Linked DNA regions of Notamacropus eugenii. The protein of the gene in region 1 interacts with the protein of each later gene in a pairwise test. Links are inferred from orthologs where the notes say so. Each region holds a gene or a part of one and is shown on either strand. Other genes may lie near its edges.

Region 1 (9,065 bases):
TAATCAACTATGAATAACTTAGCTCTTCTCAGCAATACAATAATCCAAGAAAATTTCAAAGGATTCAGGATGGAAAACACTATCCACATCCAGAAAAAGAGCTGATATACTCTGAATGCAGATCAAAGCATGCTATTTTCACTTTATTTTTTTCCTTTTTGTCTGTTTCTTTTCTCACAACACAACTAATATGGAAATATGTTTTATATGATTGCATATATATAACATGTCAAATTTCTTGCCTTTTTAGGGAGATGGGAGGGTTAAGGACGGAAAGAGAAAATTGGGAACTCAAAAAAAATTAAATAAACATTAAAAATCATCTTTTCATGTAATTGGAAAAAGATAAAATACTATTAAAACATTTAAAATCTTTAAAAACCAGGACACACAAGTGGGTGATTTTAGTACTGTACACTGTCCTCCAATAAGGGACCCCTTTCAAGTATATATAAATTAGGTTCACTCCTGGGAGAGCCTGACCTCTAAAAAAGGGGGTCAGCCTATTTTGTCTCATTTTCTTGCTAGCCCTTCATATTCTTTACATTCCAGAGTCCCATGGCCAGATCTCTCCCCCTTACCTTCCCTCACCTTTGGGCAAAGGAGGACTTCTCAAACTTCAAAGGATCTAAAGGATATTGGACCTCCCGTTGACACTAGGAGCTAAGGGCAGGAAGAAATAGATTTAACATGCTATTGGAGTATCCCGCAAATGGAAGAAAAGGACGTGTAGCTATTAGACTTTGTTAGTTATCCTGTGTTTTCTCTAAGCCTGAATCTACTTCCTACTTGTCTCTGTAGACAATTGGGAAAGAGTTTGCCATAGATTGGGAGAGGAGGAGGGGATGTGTTTTGTATTAGCTCTTCTTATTGTACCACTTTTCTTTAGAAAAAATTTTTTTTAAGGATTTTAGGCTGACTGACTAAATGATTCTCAACTGATAATTTTGGGAGAAGTAAACCAGTGGGGCCTTGAGTCAATGGTATTAGAAAATCATCCCTAACCCTCTTAATCGCCAGATCTAATGCCCTATTCTCAATCTTCATCTTGATGAGATCGCCTATTGGATATCTCAGAATGAATGTTATGGGAATAAGATAACTTAGCTTCATCAACTAGGTTTTGTGTTAAGCCTCCATTTTGTGACCAAGTAATTATTATATGTTGTTTTTCTGTAATAAGTATTTGTGCAGAGTTTGGTAATGACATATGTCAGAATATACATCTCCCAAATCACTTCTTATGATGTTTGCATGTGTTCTTAACTTGTTAAACAACTGATAAACACTTACTATTGAAATTAGGAAACTGAAGTTTTGGTTGATAGTTTCCTTTCATCATAGGTACAGATACTCAATCACAAATCAGAACTATGTGTAACTTAGAAACACTCATAGACAAAAATATTTAAAACTACTAGAGGTCCCAGTCATCAGTCTGTTTCTAAGTCAAGACTAGGATAGACTCGTGTTCTTCACACACATAAGATTGAGCATCCTATGTACACTTGAAGGTAGTACCAATTGCAGAAACTTGTCAGAATGTTACCTTGTAGGGAGATATATTGCCTTTGGATGAGTAGGAAGGGAACTTTCTCATGAATAAGACATTTACTGGAACCTTTGTTTTTATAGTCAATAAAGTTTGATTGCATACTTGGATGAATATGAATCATTTCAGTATTCAATAAAGTTTGATTGCATTCTTAGATGACCATGAATCGTCCAAGTCCTATTTCACATGTCCAACGGCCTTTCAGATGGCTCAAATTGGATGTCCAGGAAGCATCTTAAACTCAGTATGTCCAAAAAGGAACTCATTATCTCTCGCCTTGAACCCTCTCCCCTTCCTACTTTTTCTATTACTATAGATGGCAGCACCATCCTCTTAGTCTCTCAGACTCACAACCAAAGACAACCCTGAGTTACACAAGGATACACAAAATGTGAATAAAATAAATATAAGGTATTTGGGCATAGAGAAGACACAAGGAACTGGGAGTGTCAGGAAAAGCTTCCCTTTCAAATTGGGGATTAAACTGAGTCTTGAAGGAAAAGGTTAGGAGAGAGTGCAGGTAGAGTGGAGGGGTCTGATAATGCAAAAGCCTGTTGATGAGGGATAGATTGTCACATGTGAAGAATGCAAGAAGGCAAGTTTGGCTGGACCATAGAGGGTGGGAGGAGGAGTAAAGTATAGTAATATGATACAAGTAGGCTGGCATCAGGTTATGAAAAGCTTTCATGTCAAATAAAGGTGCTGGTATTTGGTCATAGAAGCAAAAGAGCCATTAGTGTTTATCATCAACTGTAAGATTTATATTTCCATTGGGAAATGACTTTGGCAGTTTGTGGGGAGGATGGATTGGATAGTGGGGAAGACAAACAAGGAGATTGATTAGGAGACCATTGAAATGGCCCAGATGTTATTATAAAGGCATGAGCTGAAGTGAGCAGAGAGACAAACTTTAAGGTGAAGGAAAGAATGAAAGCTGCAAACCTGGGTAACTGGTAGATTTTAGGAGAAAGATGATTTCTATTTTGGATTTGTTGAGTCTGAAATACTTGCGTTATATTTCACTTGAAATATTCAATAGACTGTTGGAGATACACAACTCAAACTCAGGGGAAAAAAAGAGTAGGGCTGGATTTATACCTCTCTAAGTCTTCTACATAGACATCGCAATTAAACCCATGAGAACTGAGAAGCCCATCAAGTGATAAAGTAGAGAGAAAAGAGAAGACCAGTATCTTGGGGTATACCTACAGATAAAAACATGATATGAATGATAGATCAGCAAAGGAGGAGAAGGAATGGACAAATAAACTGAACAAGAATGAAGACAGAGCAGTATCACAAAAATGCAAAAAAGAAAAAAAATCCAAAAGAAGGGAATGGTCAACAGTGTCAAAGGATATAGAAGAGTAAGGCCAACAAACATTTTTTAAGCAGTCATCATGTGCCATGTGTTATGCTGCTTTAAGATTACAAAGGAAGGCAAAAACAATCCCTCAGTACCAGGTTATCTTGGAGCAGTGGGGGGAAACCTCCAAGAAGAAATCAGGATGTGCCTCAGTTTGATGCCTTAGAAACATCAAGGAATATCTCCTGGTGAAACTGATTGAGCATTTCTCTCTCTCCCTCTCTGTCTCTCTGTCTCTCTGTCTCTGTCTCTCTCTGTCTCTGTCTCTCTGTCTCTCTCTCTCTCTCTCTCTCTTTCTCTGTCTCTCTCTGTCTCTCTCTCTCTGTCTCTCTCTGTCTCTCTCCTCTGTCTCTCTCTCTGTCTCTCTGTCTCTCTGTCTCTCTCTCTCTCACACACACACACACACACACACACACACTCAGATCTTCCTCCTACAGGGAGAGATCAATTACTAAGTGAATTGCCTAATATGTTTATTTGTTATTCACCTTTGTAAAGGTCTTTCTGTAACTGGCAATTGATGGGAAAGGAGTTTATCCTTTGACAAAGTTTGGACATTCTTTCTCCCTTAAGGGACAGAAAAAAAGAAAAATAGGGTTAACACAAAAACTCACTTCCCCTGGACTAGCCATATTTAAGGAAGGGGGGCAGAAAGATATAATTCTAGACCAGCCCTTCCTGAGGATAGTTGAGTGGGCCAGCCTTTTGGCCCTAAACATTTTTTCCCTTTAGGCAGGAATCAAAGTTTCCCATGGAGAGGAGCAGATGAGACTCCAGGGATATCTTATTCATGCCTCCTTGGTATGTAAACATACATATAACTTACACAGGCAACACACAAACCCTACATTTATATAGGTACATGTTGTCTACCTCAATAAAATGTATGATCCTTGAGGGCATTTATTTTTTGAAATCTTGAGGGTTTCATTTTTGTATCCCCCGTGGGTAGCAAGTTCTTAATAATGCTTGTTGGTTGATTGAACAATGTAGACTATTACTGATCCTATTTAATGAGTAATAAATGATATTCATAGAGTGGCAAAGTTTTCAAAGGCCTTTAGATGTTTTTTCTCATTCTAGTTTCACAGCAGCGCTGTGAGGTAGACACTAATATTTTTATCCATTTTACATAGAGTGAAGTGACTTAGCCTAAGAGCCAGAAGCATGTCTTGAAGACAGGGCTTATTGACTAAGTACTCTCCCGGAAGCCACACTGCCTTCCAGGAAAGCAGACTCTGTAGAATAACATGCACTAAGTCACAGCTAATAAATGGCAGATGCCAAAGTCTTCTGAGTCCAAATTCTTGTGCTCTTTCCACCACATCATGCTGCCTCTATAAAAAGAGCTCAGCACTCAGAGCTGTTCAGAGTGAATCAGGGCCCTTTTTGTTTGTAGAAGAATTGCAGTATTGTTTCTGAACTATAGGATAGGGATTCTTATTCAGCTGAATTAAAGAGATTCTCTCATTCAGCTCAAACGCCTATGGATTCAGTGTTTAAAATGCTTACAAAGAAAAACATACAACTTACATATTGAATAAGTCCTAATTTTCTATGTAAAACCTCCACAAGAACTGACACAAAGGACCGCAGCTTCTTTTCTATGCATTTTTCCAAGTTACATTCTCTAGAAAGGCCAAGTGTAAAGGAAATTCAAGGATTTTTAGCCCATTACTACTCCTTTGGATAGTTATTTTAAAAGTCTTTTGATTTGCTTGTAGTGTTTTGGATATCTCTAGTTTCCTAATTAAATTCTGTTTCAAAGTTCAATGAACAGATTTTTCCCATTTATTTTCCATGGTTACAGATTTCCAAAAGTGCTAATATGGCTAATAATAGGCATCTGGGATCAGTTGATATTTTGCCTATGAAAAAATATGGGTAAAAGGAAACCACTCCAAGCTTACTGTTACTCATTAACTTTTTTAAGAGGCCTAATGTAGATTAGAGGTCACTCTAAGAGAACTCCTGAAGTGACAGAACACCGCTCATCTATGCTCATTTCAGAGTGTCCATGATTGTTTCAAGCTTCTTTCTTGACTTTTGCAACTCACACACACAATGGCGAAGAAAAGACAATTGTCTAGTGATACTGTTTTTCATTTTGAAAATCTAAGCAGTCAGAGGGGTCTGAGTGAGGAGCTTAGTACAGCAGACAGCCCTGGATCCGTGTTTCTGAGGTAAGTACCGACAATTGGACGTTCTTTTTTTTTTCTTATTTCATTTGTCTATTTTTGTTTTTTTATTTTGGTAAATAGTATTTTATTTTTCTAATTACATATAAAGATAGTTTTCAACATTCATTTTTAGTAAAATTTTGAGTTTCAAACTTTTTCTTTCTCCTTCCCTCCCATCCCCCCTCCCCAAGACAGCAAACAATCCAATATAGGTCATACATGTGCAATCGTATAAATATATTTCTACATTATTCATGCTGTAAAAGAAGAAACAGAACAAAAGGGGAAAGCCACAAAAAGAATAGTATGTTTCAATAAACATCCTGACCCCACAGTTCTTCCTCTGGATGTAGATAGCATTTTCCACTATAAGTCTTTTGGAATTTGGTATTCTTTACTCTTTCATGTGACTGTCTCATCCAGGCTATTCTCCTTATCCCACAGATCCAAAAGAAGTAGACTCAAACTTCACAACCTCCACACTATCATTAACACTATATTTTATCTTTCTTCTTGATATGAAATAAAATTTAAGCCAAAGAAGAAAGCAGACATGGGAAAGATGTGCCAAATTTTCAGAAGTACATAACCTAAAAATATGGTATTTTCAGAGAGAATATAATAAAAATTACTACTCAATGTTAAAGAACAGGAGTTGGAATGTGTTCACTAACATTGACAAAAAATTTGACCCTTTCCTCAGTTTCAGCTAGGTAGATAAAGCAGAAACAAATAGCTGGAATTACAGATACATTTAGAGATTCAGAAAAATAACCATTTTTTTCCTATACATATTCAATAGATATGGGAGGGGGATTGCTCTCTGGCTCAACTACTCATTAGGGATATAGTGATTTTAATTAGCTTTGGTTTTTCCTCTACATTTATCAATTAGGGAATGACTCATTCTTATAAATTTGACAAAGCTAACTAAAATATATTGATAATAGTAGCATTTCAAGTTTGCAATGTACTGTACATGTGTTATTTTATTTGATTTTCAAAATAGTTCTGTGAGCTAACTACCAAAAGTATGGTTATTTCCATTTTACCATTATTATTAGTTAGCAACAATTTTATAACTCAAATAGATGTGCTAATTGACAAAGTTCTTTATATATTTGAAAAACAAGACCTTTATCTAAGAAACTGTCCCCCAAATTTTTTTTCCCTGTTTTCTGCTTTCCTTCTGATATTGGCTACATTGTTTTTGTTTGTACAAGAACTTTCTTCATTTCATATAATTGATGTTGTCCACTTTACAATTCACAATAATCTCTATCTCAAATTGTTCTCCTGTTCATGAATCTTCTAGGCAATATGTTCCATGTTGACCTTATGACATGGGCTAAGATATTGATCTATGCCCAATTTCTGTGAAACTGCTTTCAGCTTTCCCACCAATTTTTACCAAATAATGACTTCTTATTGCAAAAGCTAAAATCTTTACATGGATCAGACAAAAGATTACTATAATCCTTTGTTACTGTGTATTGTATGTCTACTCTATTCCATTGATCTACCTTTCTGTCTCTTAGCCAGTACTAGGTAGGTTTGATATTTACTGCCTTATACTATAGTTTGGGGTCTGGTACAGCTGAACATTCCTTTATATTTTTTCATTAGTTTTTTTGAAATTTTTTAACCTTTTGTTCTTCCAAATGAGTTTTGTTATTTTTTTTTCTAGCTCAGTAAAGAATTTTTTAGCAATTTAATTGGGATGGAATTGAATAGATAGATTAGTTAGGTTAAATTGTCATTTTTATTATATTGACTTTGACTACCCTTGAGCAATTACTATTTCTCCAATCATTTAAGTCTGGCTTTATTTGTGTGAAGTGTTTTATAATTATGTTTATGCCATTCCTGGGTCTGTTTTGGCAGGTATACTCAGGTATTTAATAATGTCTAGAATTATTTTAAATGGGTTATCTCTTCTTGCAGAATTTTGTTGGTTGTATATAAAAATGCTGATGGTGTATGTAGGTTTATTTTATATCCTACTAGTTTGCTAAAATTATTACCTATTTCAACTAATTTTTTAGTTAAATCTTTAGGATTTTCCAAATATATCATCTTACAGTCTGTAAAAAGAGATACTTTATTACTTCATTTTCCATTCTGATTCCTTCAATTTCTTTTTCTTCTCTCATTTCTAAAACAATATTGAATAATATTGGTGACATAGTGTAGTTTCCCTGTTTATTGCTTTTAATTAAGTCTATATTAGCTTTAACCTTGTATGAAATCACGATTGCTATACCTACTTTTTTAATATCAGATGAAACAGTAAATTCTACTTCAGTGTTTTATTTTAACTCTGTCTCTCATTTTCAATTATGTTTCTTGTAAACAATGTATTGCCCGATTTTGATTTTAATCCGTTCTGCTATCCATTTCCATTTTATGGGTAAATTCATTGCATTCACATTCAAAGTTATAATTACTGCATGCATATTTCCCTCCATCCTATTTTTCCTCACTATTTATCCTATTACACAACCAATTTACTTCTAACCTCTACCTTGCCCTTCTGTTCCTTAATCTACTCACCCCCCCTTAGAGTCCCTATCTTATCATTTTCCATTACCCTCTTATTTCTTTATAAATTTATAGGACCTTTATATCCTCCTAGATGTATATGTTGTTCCCTTTATAACCTAGTTCTGATGAGAGTAACATTCCAGCACTACCAGTCCTCCACCCTGACTCACCTCTATCTTAGTTCTTTCTTTCACTCACTCCTCATTTGTATGAGATAATTGCTCTTTTTTACCTCTTCTTGCCCAGTCTTATTTTTTAAAATTAACCCATCTTACTCAACTGAGTCCAAACCTTTCTTTCAAGCTACCTAATGACAGTCTTAAGAGTATTCAAATATTTTCACATATAAGCAATTTGACCTTATTAAGTCCCTTATAATTGGTCTTTAATATTTACTTTATGAATCTTATATGTCAAATTTTCCATTGAGCTGCGGTCTTTTTGTCACAAATACCTGAAAGTCTTTCAGTTCATTGAATATTGTTCTTGTTATTATTGTTCAAGATTACATTCAGTTTTACTGAGAAAGTTATTTTTGCTCACACCCGCAACTCTTTTGCTCTTCAAATATTATGTTCCAAGACCCATAGTCTTTTAATGTAGAAGCTGCTAAATCTTGTGTGATCCTGATTGTAGCTCCATAGTAATTTAAATTGTTTTTCTTATTGCTTGTAGTATTTTCTCTTTAACCTCTCCTAATTTCGACTATGATATTCCTGTAAGTTTTCATCTTGGAATTTCCTTCAGATAGTGAACAGTGGATTCTTTCTATTTACTTAACCCTCCAGTTCTAAAACTTCAAAGCAATTTCTTGTAATACTGTATCAAGACTCTTTTTGTCATAACGTTCAGGTAATCCAACAATTCTTATGTTCTCTCTCCTTGATCTGTTCTCCAAATCACTTGTTTTCCTAATAAGATGTTGCATATTTTTTTATTCTCTTGATTTTGTTTTATTATTTCCTGCTGTCTTATAATGTCATTAGCTTCCCCTTGCCCAGTTCTAGTTTTCAAGTAGTTATTTTCTTCCTTGAGTTTTTGGACTTTTTTTTCCAATTGGTTGACTTTCTTCTCATTTTTTTTTTATTTCCTTGGATTGCTCTTAATTTTTTTCCTATTTTTTCTTTAATCTCTCTAATTTGATTTTTGAAGTCCTTTATAAGTTCTTCCCAGAACTTTTTTTTTTTTGAACTTGTGACTTGTGACTATTTGACGTTTCTCTTTCAGTTAAGATTGGCTTTTTTTAACTTTTCTATCTTCCTCTGAATATTCACCTAGACGTTCTCTATCCCCATAGCAGTTCTCTATGGTCAGATTCTTTCTCCTTTGCTTACTCATTTTTATTTTGTTTTAATTTTAGCAGCTTATTATTGTAATTGATTTTAGACCCTGGGTGTGAGGAGTGGTGCCCTAGGCCTCA
Region 2 (8,783 bases), on another chromosome or scaffold:
ACTTTGTATGTGCATCATTAGCCAACCTAATGACGCATGTACATCGCTGAAAAAATATGTGAGCCAAAGGAAACAGGGGCAGGAAGCAAGGAATGAATGTACTGAGAAGAAGTAGAGATTGCCAAGAAAATCTAAGGATGGTCGAAAGAGTGATGAGCAGAGATGTTTCTAAGCTATGTTTTGGGGGAAAAGAAAGTTCAAAGAAAGGCTAGGACCACTACCTGTAAGGGGTGAATGGGGTGATGATAACTAATTACGAGAGAAGACAGAGCTGCCCAGCTCATATTTTATTTGTTTTCCCTGAAAAGGAAAATGAACTTTAAACTGAAAAGGATGGAGCAAAAAATGGCTACTAGGAAGGTGATACTCAAGATAAAAAAAATACTTTGTAAAGGCTAGCTATTGTTATTATTTTACAGATGAAAAAACTGAGGCCCAGAGATGGATTGACTTGCCCAGAGTCATTCAGGTGGTAAGCAGCTATGACAAGCTTCACACCCAAGTGTTATGATTCCAAGATCAATGTAGATTTGCTGATCCTGCTGTATTCTTCCTTGCCTTGGCCAATTAAACCATATAAGAGTATTGTGTTTGATCATGGGCACCAAATTTTGGGAAAAACCTTGATAAACTGAAAAGTATTAAGAAGAAGGTAACTAGGAAAGATCTTGAGACCATGTCCTTTGAGGACTGGTGAAACTGGAGAAGGTTAGCTAAAGAAGAGAAGATGAGGCTTCAGTATTTGAAAAGCTGATGCATTGACTTTTATCGATGTGTTTTGCATGACTACACATGTATAACCTATATCAAAATGCTTGCTTCTCAGTTGGGGGGGGCAGGGAAGAAGAGAGAGAATTTTGAGCTCAAATTTTTTAAAACAAATGTTAAAAATTGTTCTTCATGTAACTGGGGAAAAATAGAATACTAAATACACAAAAATAAAAGAAAAGTTGATTCATGGAAAAGAGATTAGACTTTTTCTTTTCTGGGGCAGGGGGATAATTTAGGAGTATGGAATAAAAAGCAATGGGGAGAAGTGGAAAAAATAGTCAAATCTGGGCTTGATATAAAGAAACTTTCCTAATATTTAAAGCTATCTGAAAGTTGAATGGGCTGCCTTAGGAACTAGAGGCATCCCTCATCATGAGATTATAAATTTAAAGCTGAAAGGGACTTTAGAAAGCCTCAAGTCCAGCCCCTTCATTTTATGAGGAATCTGAGGTGCAGAGAGGTTGTGACTCTCCCACAGTCACACAGGTAGTAAAGGACTGAAAAAGGATTTGAACTAAGGTCAAAAGCTAAGGTCAACTCCAAATTCAAGGTTCGTTCAGAGATCTTGTTCAGGTGTGAGGTGGCCCGGACCACCTTCGAAGTTCTTTGTACCATTGAGATTTTGTGATGCTGGGGCATGCTCAAGCTCACACAGAAAACCAGTGGCAGAGTCCAGATCTTGAAACTTAGAAGGGGATAGGTTACTTGACTCTCCCTGTAGCCAGCAAGGGATAGCCCATGCTCCACCTGATAATGTGACCTGGTGTAAAATAACTGGGGCTATAAAAACCAGACAGTTCTCCAGTGACTTTCATTTTTAAAGTCACAGTCCAGAGGTCATCTTTTTTTTCTTCTACAGGGCCTCTTCATTTGAAGGATCCCGGAGCCTTCTCCAACCTCCCAGTGGGACATCCTCCTTCACCATGGCAGGGCTCTCTATCCCTGTTGGGGTCCCTTTCTCCATCTCAGAATTCCTGCCTGAGCTCTGCTGACCCTAGATCCAACTTCCCCAGTATCCTTAGCATCTGAAGCTTCAGGAGCAGCTTCTCCCACACCGTCCTCCCCCACAGGGACACCAAGTACTCACGCTGCTGTGACAAGGATGCCCCCAGGGTCTGCAGGTCTTTCCTGAGCTGCTCAACATTAGCAGTTAGCTCCCTACTTTTCTTCAAATCCTGTTTCAGCATTGGAATCTGGCTGTTTAAATCCTCAAGCTCTTTCCAAGTGCTCCTCAATACCTGAAGCTGCTCCGTGTCCTGCCTCAGCTTGGCACTTAATAGCTTTATCTGAATATTGGCATTCCCCAGGCTGCGGTTTAGCGTCTGGACCTGGGTACGGGAATCCTCCAGTTTGTTTCTCAGCTTCCTTATCTCAGAGCTGAGAAAGACACTGGTGTTCTCCGCACGGCCTTGGAGCATTTGGACAGAAGTCTTGACATCATTTATCCTTCCCAGTAACTGGGGATCTGGGGAGGAAAAAATTATAAGGTTAGCTGGAGGGTTGACTTGTCTGTTCCAACCCCTTCGTTTCACAGATGAGGAAATGGAGGATCAGAGAGACTAACTGACGTGGCCAGAGTCACACAGGTGGTGTCCAAAGAGGGATTTGAACCCAGCTCTTCTGACCTCAGAAAGTACTTTTTTTCATCATACCCCACTTATGCCTGTGCCTAAGTTATACGGTATAAGGATTCATACAAAGGAATAGCTAACAGTGGGGCTCATAAGAGAAGGGCCACCAGGGGTCACAGACAAGTCCCTAAATGCAGAGAGGTAGGACCAGGGGAGGATGTAGGGAGCCATGAGAATGGGGTACAGGACACAAGCATGTAGTAGGAACCAAAGATGGGGGTACATGAAACTAGTGAAAGAAACATAAGGAGAGAGAGGCAAGGGACTGAAGAAAGAGTCTGGAGGAAAAGGGAAAGTATGGGAATTTGCAGCCAGAGGACAAAGATAAGTAACTTAATTTCTCTGGAGCTCAGTTTCCTCATCTGTAAAATGAGGGAATGGATAGTCACTAATGTCCCTTCTAGCTCTGGATCTTACTGTCAGTTCTGCAGTGGGAGGGCAAAGATGAGCAGACCTGGGAAAGGAGCCTGCAGGAGAAGGAGGAGGAAAAATAAGAAGAAAAGGAGGAGAAGATGCGGGCATACGGGAAAGAGAAATAGGACTAGGAATGGGTGGCTGCCAAGAACAGGACAAAGCCTCAGTGGGGTGAGGAGTAACTTTATCTGTGAGTGTGCAAGGAAGAAGCCCTTCCTCTCCCAAGCTGGGGAAAGGCCAAGAATCATGGGAGTTCAAGGGCATTCACTTACAGAGAATGATCATGGTCAGGAGGAAGACAACAAAACCCACTGCCAACAGAAAAAGAGCCACATAGACAGAAGGCAAGGTCCGTGGGATTGCAGGGGACTCCTTTTTTGGAGGAGGGTCTGTTGGGAGAAGAAAAAAAAGAAAGCAAGTCTGTAGAAGAACCAGGCCCAAATACGCATTAATTAATCAATGAGCTTCCTGTGGGTCAGGCACTATGTTAATTGTCGAGGTTACAAATACAAAGAATGAAACAATCCTTACTCTCAAGAAGCTGGCATTCTGGGACAGTGAGGTAGGTGGCTCAGTGGATAGACCACCATCCTTGGAGTCAGGAATTCAAATCTAGCCTTAGGTACTTACTAGTTATGTGACCCTGGGCTTAGCCCTGCTTGACTCGAAAAAAGAAGACACTGTTATTCTACCAGGAGATCAGCTGGCTTTCTTTATATACCCAGAGTTTGACACATAAAAACACTTAATACTTAACTGAGTTGACAAAAAGTTCATAGGTAAGATTATCTTATTCTATTATTTCTGCATTCTACATTTTATGTATGCATTTCTATATTCTATATATATACTATATTACCTATATTCAGAATACAGAGAATAAATATTATTTATTATTTAAATTTAATAGTAAATTAAAAATTAAATATTTTAAAATGTAAGATATACAAGTTAGCTGGAGAAGAAGGTCAAATACAGGAATGCACAAAAAAGAGGGAATGAGGAAGGTCTGCATGTTTAGGAGAACAGAGTGGACCCTCCTGAACTCACCTCGGGGCCACAGGGAGATATCCTGGTTGTCCACTGTGAAATGGGCCACTTGAATTTCCTTCTCATTTTCCTTCATCCTGGCCTGGGTCACACTGTGTCCTTAGGTACCACTCACAACTGTTGCTTCAAGGGCATCTTTATCTAGAAATAAAAGTGGGAAGTGTCCTCATGAGATACCCTGCCCACCTCAACCCCAAAAGTCCATGCTACATTCACGAGACCAGGTCCAGACCACAACTCCACCCTTTGCCTCCAGACCAGGACCTCAGGGACGTCAGCATGAACCTTTTGTCATGAATCCAACCAAAGACTCCGTCACAGAAAGATTCCCTAAATCCTATCCCTATCCATTTTTTTCTTCTCTTCCCTCCTTCAAAAGACTGCTCAGGGTCTTTTTTTGTGCAGGAAAAAAAGGCAATTCAGAAAGTGCGCATATTGAAGTATGGCTGAACAAATTATAGTATATGAATGCAATGGAAAATCATTGTGCCATAAGAAATTGTGAAATATATGGTCTAAGAAAAAAGTAGGAAGAACTTCATGGACTGGTGAGGAATGAAATGAAACAAACCAAGAAAATGATTTATACAATGAAAATATTACTAATAAAACTTTGAAAGAGATGAGAAGTTTGATCAATATACTGACAAGTTATAATTCTAGAAGACCACAGATGAAGCATCACCTCCTGACAGAGAAGAGAGCAATTCAAAATGTAGACTGTTTTTGTATACGGCCAATGAGGGAATTTGCTTTGCTTGACTTTGTACATTTGTTGTGAGGGTTTTGTGTTTTTCTGTCTTTTTTCTTTTTATTTTGTTTAGTGGTGGGGGATGAGAAGGAAAGAATATAAATGCTTGTTAATTAGGGGAATAAATTAATTTAAAGGTTCCTCAGACTCATGTTCCCTATACTTGTTGCAAGTGAACCTTTCCCACCCCATCTCCTTCCTAAGTAGCTCTTCTCCCACACCTCTACCCTCACCAGCATCCTCCAGGGAAAGATGTCTCAAAGATGAATTTAGACTTGGAAGTGACCTTAGAGCTCATCTAATTTTATGTTCCCATTTTACAAATGAAGAAACTGAGGCCTAGATGAGGTTAAGTGGTTAGCCCAAGGACATTCAGGAAGTAAGTAGGAGAGCCAGGATTTGATTTGCAGATCCTACATTTAAGACCCTGCTATATCATGTTGCCTCTCTGTTAATGTACTTCCATCTTGTGTCTAAAATCAGTGTGGTCTATTTCCATTAGACCTAAGCTCCCTAAGGATAGGATAATGTCTAACTCTTTGACTGTATTCACCAAGAGTGAGCATGTCCACAATCACATCAGGGGCGGCCAGAACAAGGGAGTTCTGTGTCCTTTCTTTAAAGTAGGGGATTTTTTTCTATCTTTTCATCCAGTGTCTAATAGAAAGATCCACCTTCAATAGTTTCTTCAGACAGAGGAGACAAATAGAGAATTTCAAGTCTCCTTTGAGCTGAATGAAAGACTGTTTTCTCCAGACAGCTTCTTTTGCTGTTGGCCAAGGTGTGTATAGAAAAGGGAGAGAGGAAGGAGTATGTCATTGGAGGAGTTGTTCTGACAGCTGCCTGAGGGCTTCTGCTGTCTTTAAACTAAAGTAACTCATGCCATTGCATGAGCCTGACTGGACTTTAAAGGGTTACGTTTGGTCTTTGATAAGGCTTCTCTATGGTCAGTGTTATTTGGTAAGGACATCTGAAGAGGAAGTCGAATGGAATGTCAAGACCACCACACCTCTAGACTTGAGGTCAAAAGACATGAGTTCAAATCCTGGCTCTATCACTTGCTACCTGGGTAATTTTAGAATAGTCACTTCCTCTTTCGAGGGTCTCTGTTTCTCTATAAAATGAATGACTTGATCAAATTTTCTCTGTGTTTCTTTTCAGTCTTAATCATGTATGATTCCATGATTCCAGACCCGAGTGACGAGGCTACACCCAAAGTAGCCAGCCGTCAGTGGAAAGCAGAGGGAATAAACTCTGGCCCTAGCTCTACTATTGTCCTTCATTTTTCTTGTTTAATCCTTTCATGCTTTGAACCTGTATTAATTTCCTGGATTATCCTTAGATTGTTTTTCATCTTGTCTCTCTTCTACTTCCCCAGACTGAACTCCTGGGTAAAATATCGTGTTTTGAATTCAGCCACCACCCTGGTGCTTCCTCTGTATAAAAACTATGCTAATTCATTGCTGTAGCCCTGAACTTGCCTGGAGCATAGCAGGGACTCAGAAACACCTTGTGACCTGGGACTTTTTGCTTGGGTTCCTGACCCCCAAAGCCCAGAATGCCTCCTTGTTCTAACTTTGGATACCCTGCTGATGTTTCTAGCCTTTCCTTGCTCTGGCTTTGGATCACTGTGTTCACTGGGTGCCCACCTGGCCCATCAAGTTCACTTTGACCTCAGCTTTTGTGTGTATATGTGTGCTCATTAGAGTATGAGGCTCAATATAGAAATAAATTGACTGGTTTCAGGGAGGAAGGGATGCTTTTAGTGCCTTTCCTTCCCCATTCACTCCTTTGTCCCTTCCTTCTTTCATTCATCATTTATTCAACCCCTATTTCATGCATCCCTTGGGGTCCCCATCTGAAGGAGGGTATAGAAGAGGAGAATAAGGAAGCAGAGAGGAAGATCATAGAAGAATGTAGAGCTAGATGCAGTATTAAACATCCCCTAGCCCATTCCCTTCACTTTAGAGAAAAGGAAAATGAAGTTCAGAGAAGAAAGATAAGTTTTCTAAGATCACATAGATAATAAATACCAAAACTAGAATTTCAAACCAGGTCCTCCAAGTCAAAATTTATTGCTTTCCTTTTTATATGAGAAGCAAGAAAAAAAAGTGCAGAAAGAGAAATAAGAAGACTCATATTCCTTTACAACTTACAAACCTATGACAAGATTGAGTTATTTCAGGAAAAGAGGGATAATTCAATATTACAACAACTATAAATATAACTGATCATATTAGTAATAAAAACAATAAAATCACATGATAATATCAATAGATGGGAAAAAGCCTTTGACAAAATGTAGCATTCATTTATGTTTTTAAAAAGCAGTAAAAATCATGGAAATAAATAGAACTTTCCTAATATGATAAGCAATACTTTTCTAAAGCCAAGGACTATCATTATTTTTGATACTAATATTTTTCCAGTAAGATGGTAGTAAATTTTTTTAAATGCCCCTTTTTACCATTGTTTGGTATCATTCTAAAAATTCTAACTACAGTAATAATAAAAGAAAAGAAGTCTGAAAAATAGGCTGAAAGAAGGAAAATTATCTCTATTTTCAAATGACATAACTTTTTTAGAGAATCCTAGAAATTTTATAAAAAATCAGAACAATTAAAAACTTCAATAAAGTAGTATTATGACATAAACCCACAAAATCATCATATTATTAATAAAAGCTGTCAGAAAGAGATTTTTAAAAATTCCATTCAAAATAGTGACAAAACACATAAAATTTCTGAACAATAACCCATCAAGACACACTCAGGATTTATATGATTGCAACTTCAAGACGTTCTTTATAGAAATTAAGGAATATGTAAACAATTGAGCAGATAGTCATTGTGTATGTTTGGGTCATGCCAACATAATAAAAGTAATTATACTACCCAAATTAATTACAGATTTATACTCTACCCATCAAAATCTCAAGGGATCACTTTATATAGGATTATATTTACCCTATAAAGGATTTTATTTTTATTAGTAGACAAAATAATGAAATTCATCTAAATAAACAAAATAGTAAGAATCTCAAGGTAAATAGTGAGGACATAGCATTGCCAAACCTTAAACTACAATATAAAACAGTAATCATTGAAACTATTGGGTATGTGCTTAAAAAGTAGAAAAGTTGATCAGTGGAACAGACAAGGTAAATCAGTCCCAGAAGCAATCAAATATGCTAGCTGATAAACTATCTGATAAATGCCAAAATACAAACTACTGGGTTAAGGATTCCTTATTTGATAAGAAATTGCTAGGAGAACTAGTTTGGCTCCAAATGCATGACCTAAACTATAAAAGATCATACCACAACAAAAAGAGATGTGTGGGAAAAGATCCCTTTTATAATTATGAATTCTTGATTAAGAAGGAATAGAAATGTTGATAAGAAATAAAAGAAATAACTTTCATTACATAAAATTAGAAAGTTTTACATGGAGAAAATAAATTCAGAATGAATGTGAAGCTACAAATTGGGGAATAAAAACTTCAAAGCAAATATCTCTGATAAAGGTCTGTTATTCAAGATACATAGGGAATTCATGAAAATATAGAATAACAAGAACTGTACCCCAGTAGGTATAGTGATCACAGGGAAAGAATGTTCCAAATCACCAATTATACACACACACACACACACATACACACACGCATGCACATATGGCATATAATATACATACAGAAATATTTATAATAGCATTTTTGTGGCAGCAAAGAACTGGAAGCAAATTGTATACCTATTGATTGGGGAATGGTTGGACAAATCATGGCATATGACTCTAATTGAAAATTATTTTCATCATGAAAATGACAAATACAAAGAATTCAGGAAAACGGGAAAACTTGTATGAACTATGGCCAAGTGAAATGAGCAGAACCAGAAGACAGTTTACACAGTGAACACAAAAATAGAAAGAAAAACAACACTGAAAGACACCAGAACTCTCCCAATGCAGTTTTGAAGAACTCTTCCTCAAGTATGTCTCCTTGTCTGCAGAGAGATGGTAGACCGTAGTTACAGAATAAAGCATATGTATCAGATGTGACCAGTGTGTTGATTGTCATGCTTAGCTACCCAACTCTGTTGGGAGGGTGGGCTGAGCTACTTGGAAATCACAGTGGTGTACAAAAAAAAAGCACCAACAAAATATTTT

The links.
Region 2: the proteins of GRAMD2B (region 1) and CD207 interact in binary tests that used the Homo sapiens proteins (3 or more experiments, as listed by UniProt). The two-hybrid records come from large-scale screens. The link is inferred for Notamacropus eugenii from reciprocal best matches to the Homo sapiens genes GRAMD2B and CD207.

The regions. Positions count from the first base shown.
Region 1 is NC_092874.1:348,594,023-348,603,087, reverse strand, and holds the start of GRAMD2B (GRAM domain-containing protein 2B), read left to right. Parts: upstream 1-4,892; 5' UTR 4,893-4,985; coding exon 4,986-5,104; intron 5,105-9,065.
Region 2 is NC_092877.1:47,059,597-47,068,379, reverse strand, and holds the start of CD207 (C-type lectin domain family 4 member K), read right to left. Parts: upstream 3,978-8,783; 5' UTR 3,943-3,977; coding exon 3,867-3,942; intron 3,206-3,866; coding exon 3,089-3,205; intron 2,237-3,088; coding exon 1,859-2,236; intron 1-1,858. UniProt on the Homo sapiens protein: Calcium-dependent lectin displaying mannose-binding specificity. Induces the formation of Birbeck granules (BGs); is a potent regulator of membrane superimposition and zippering.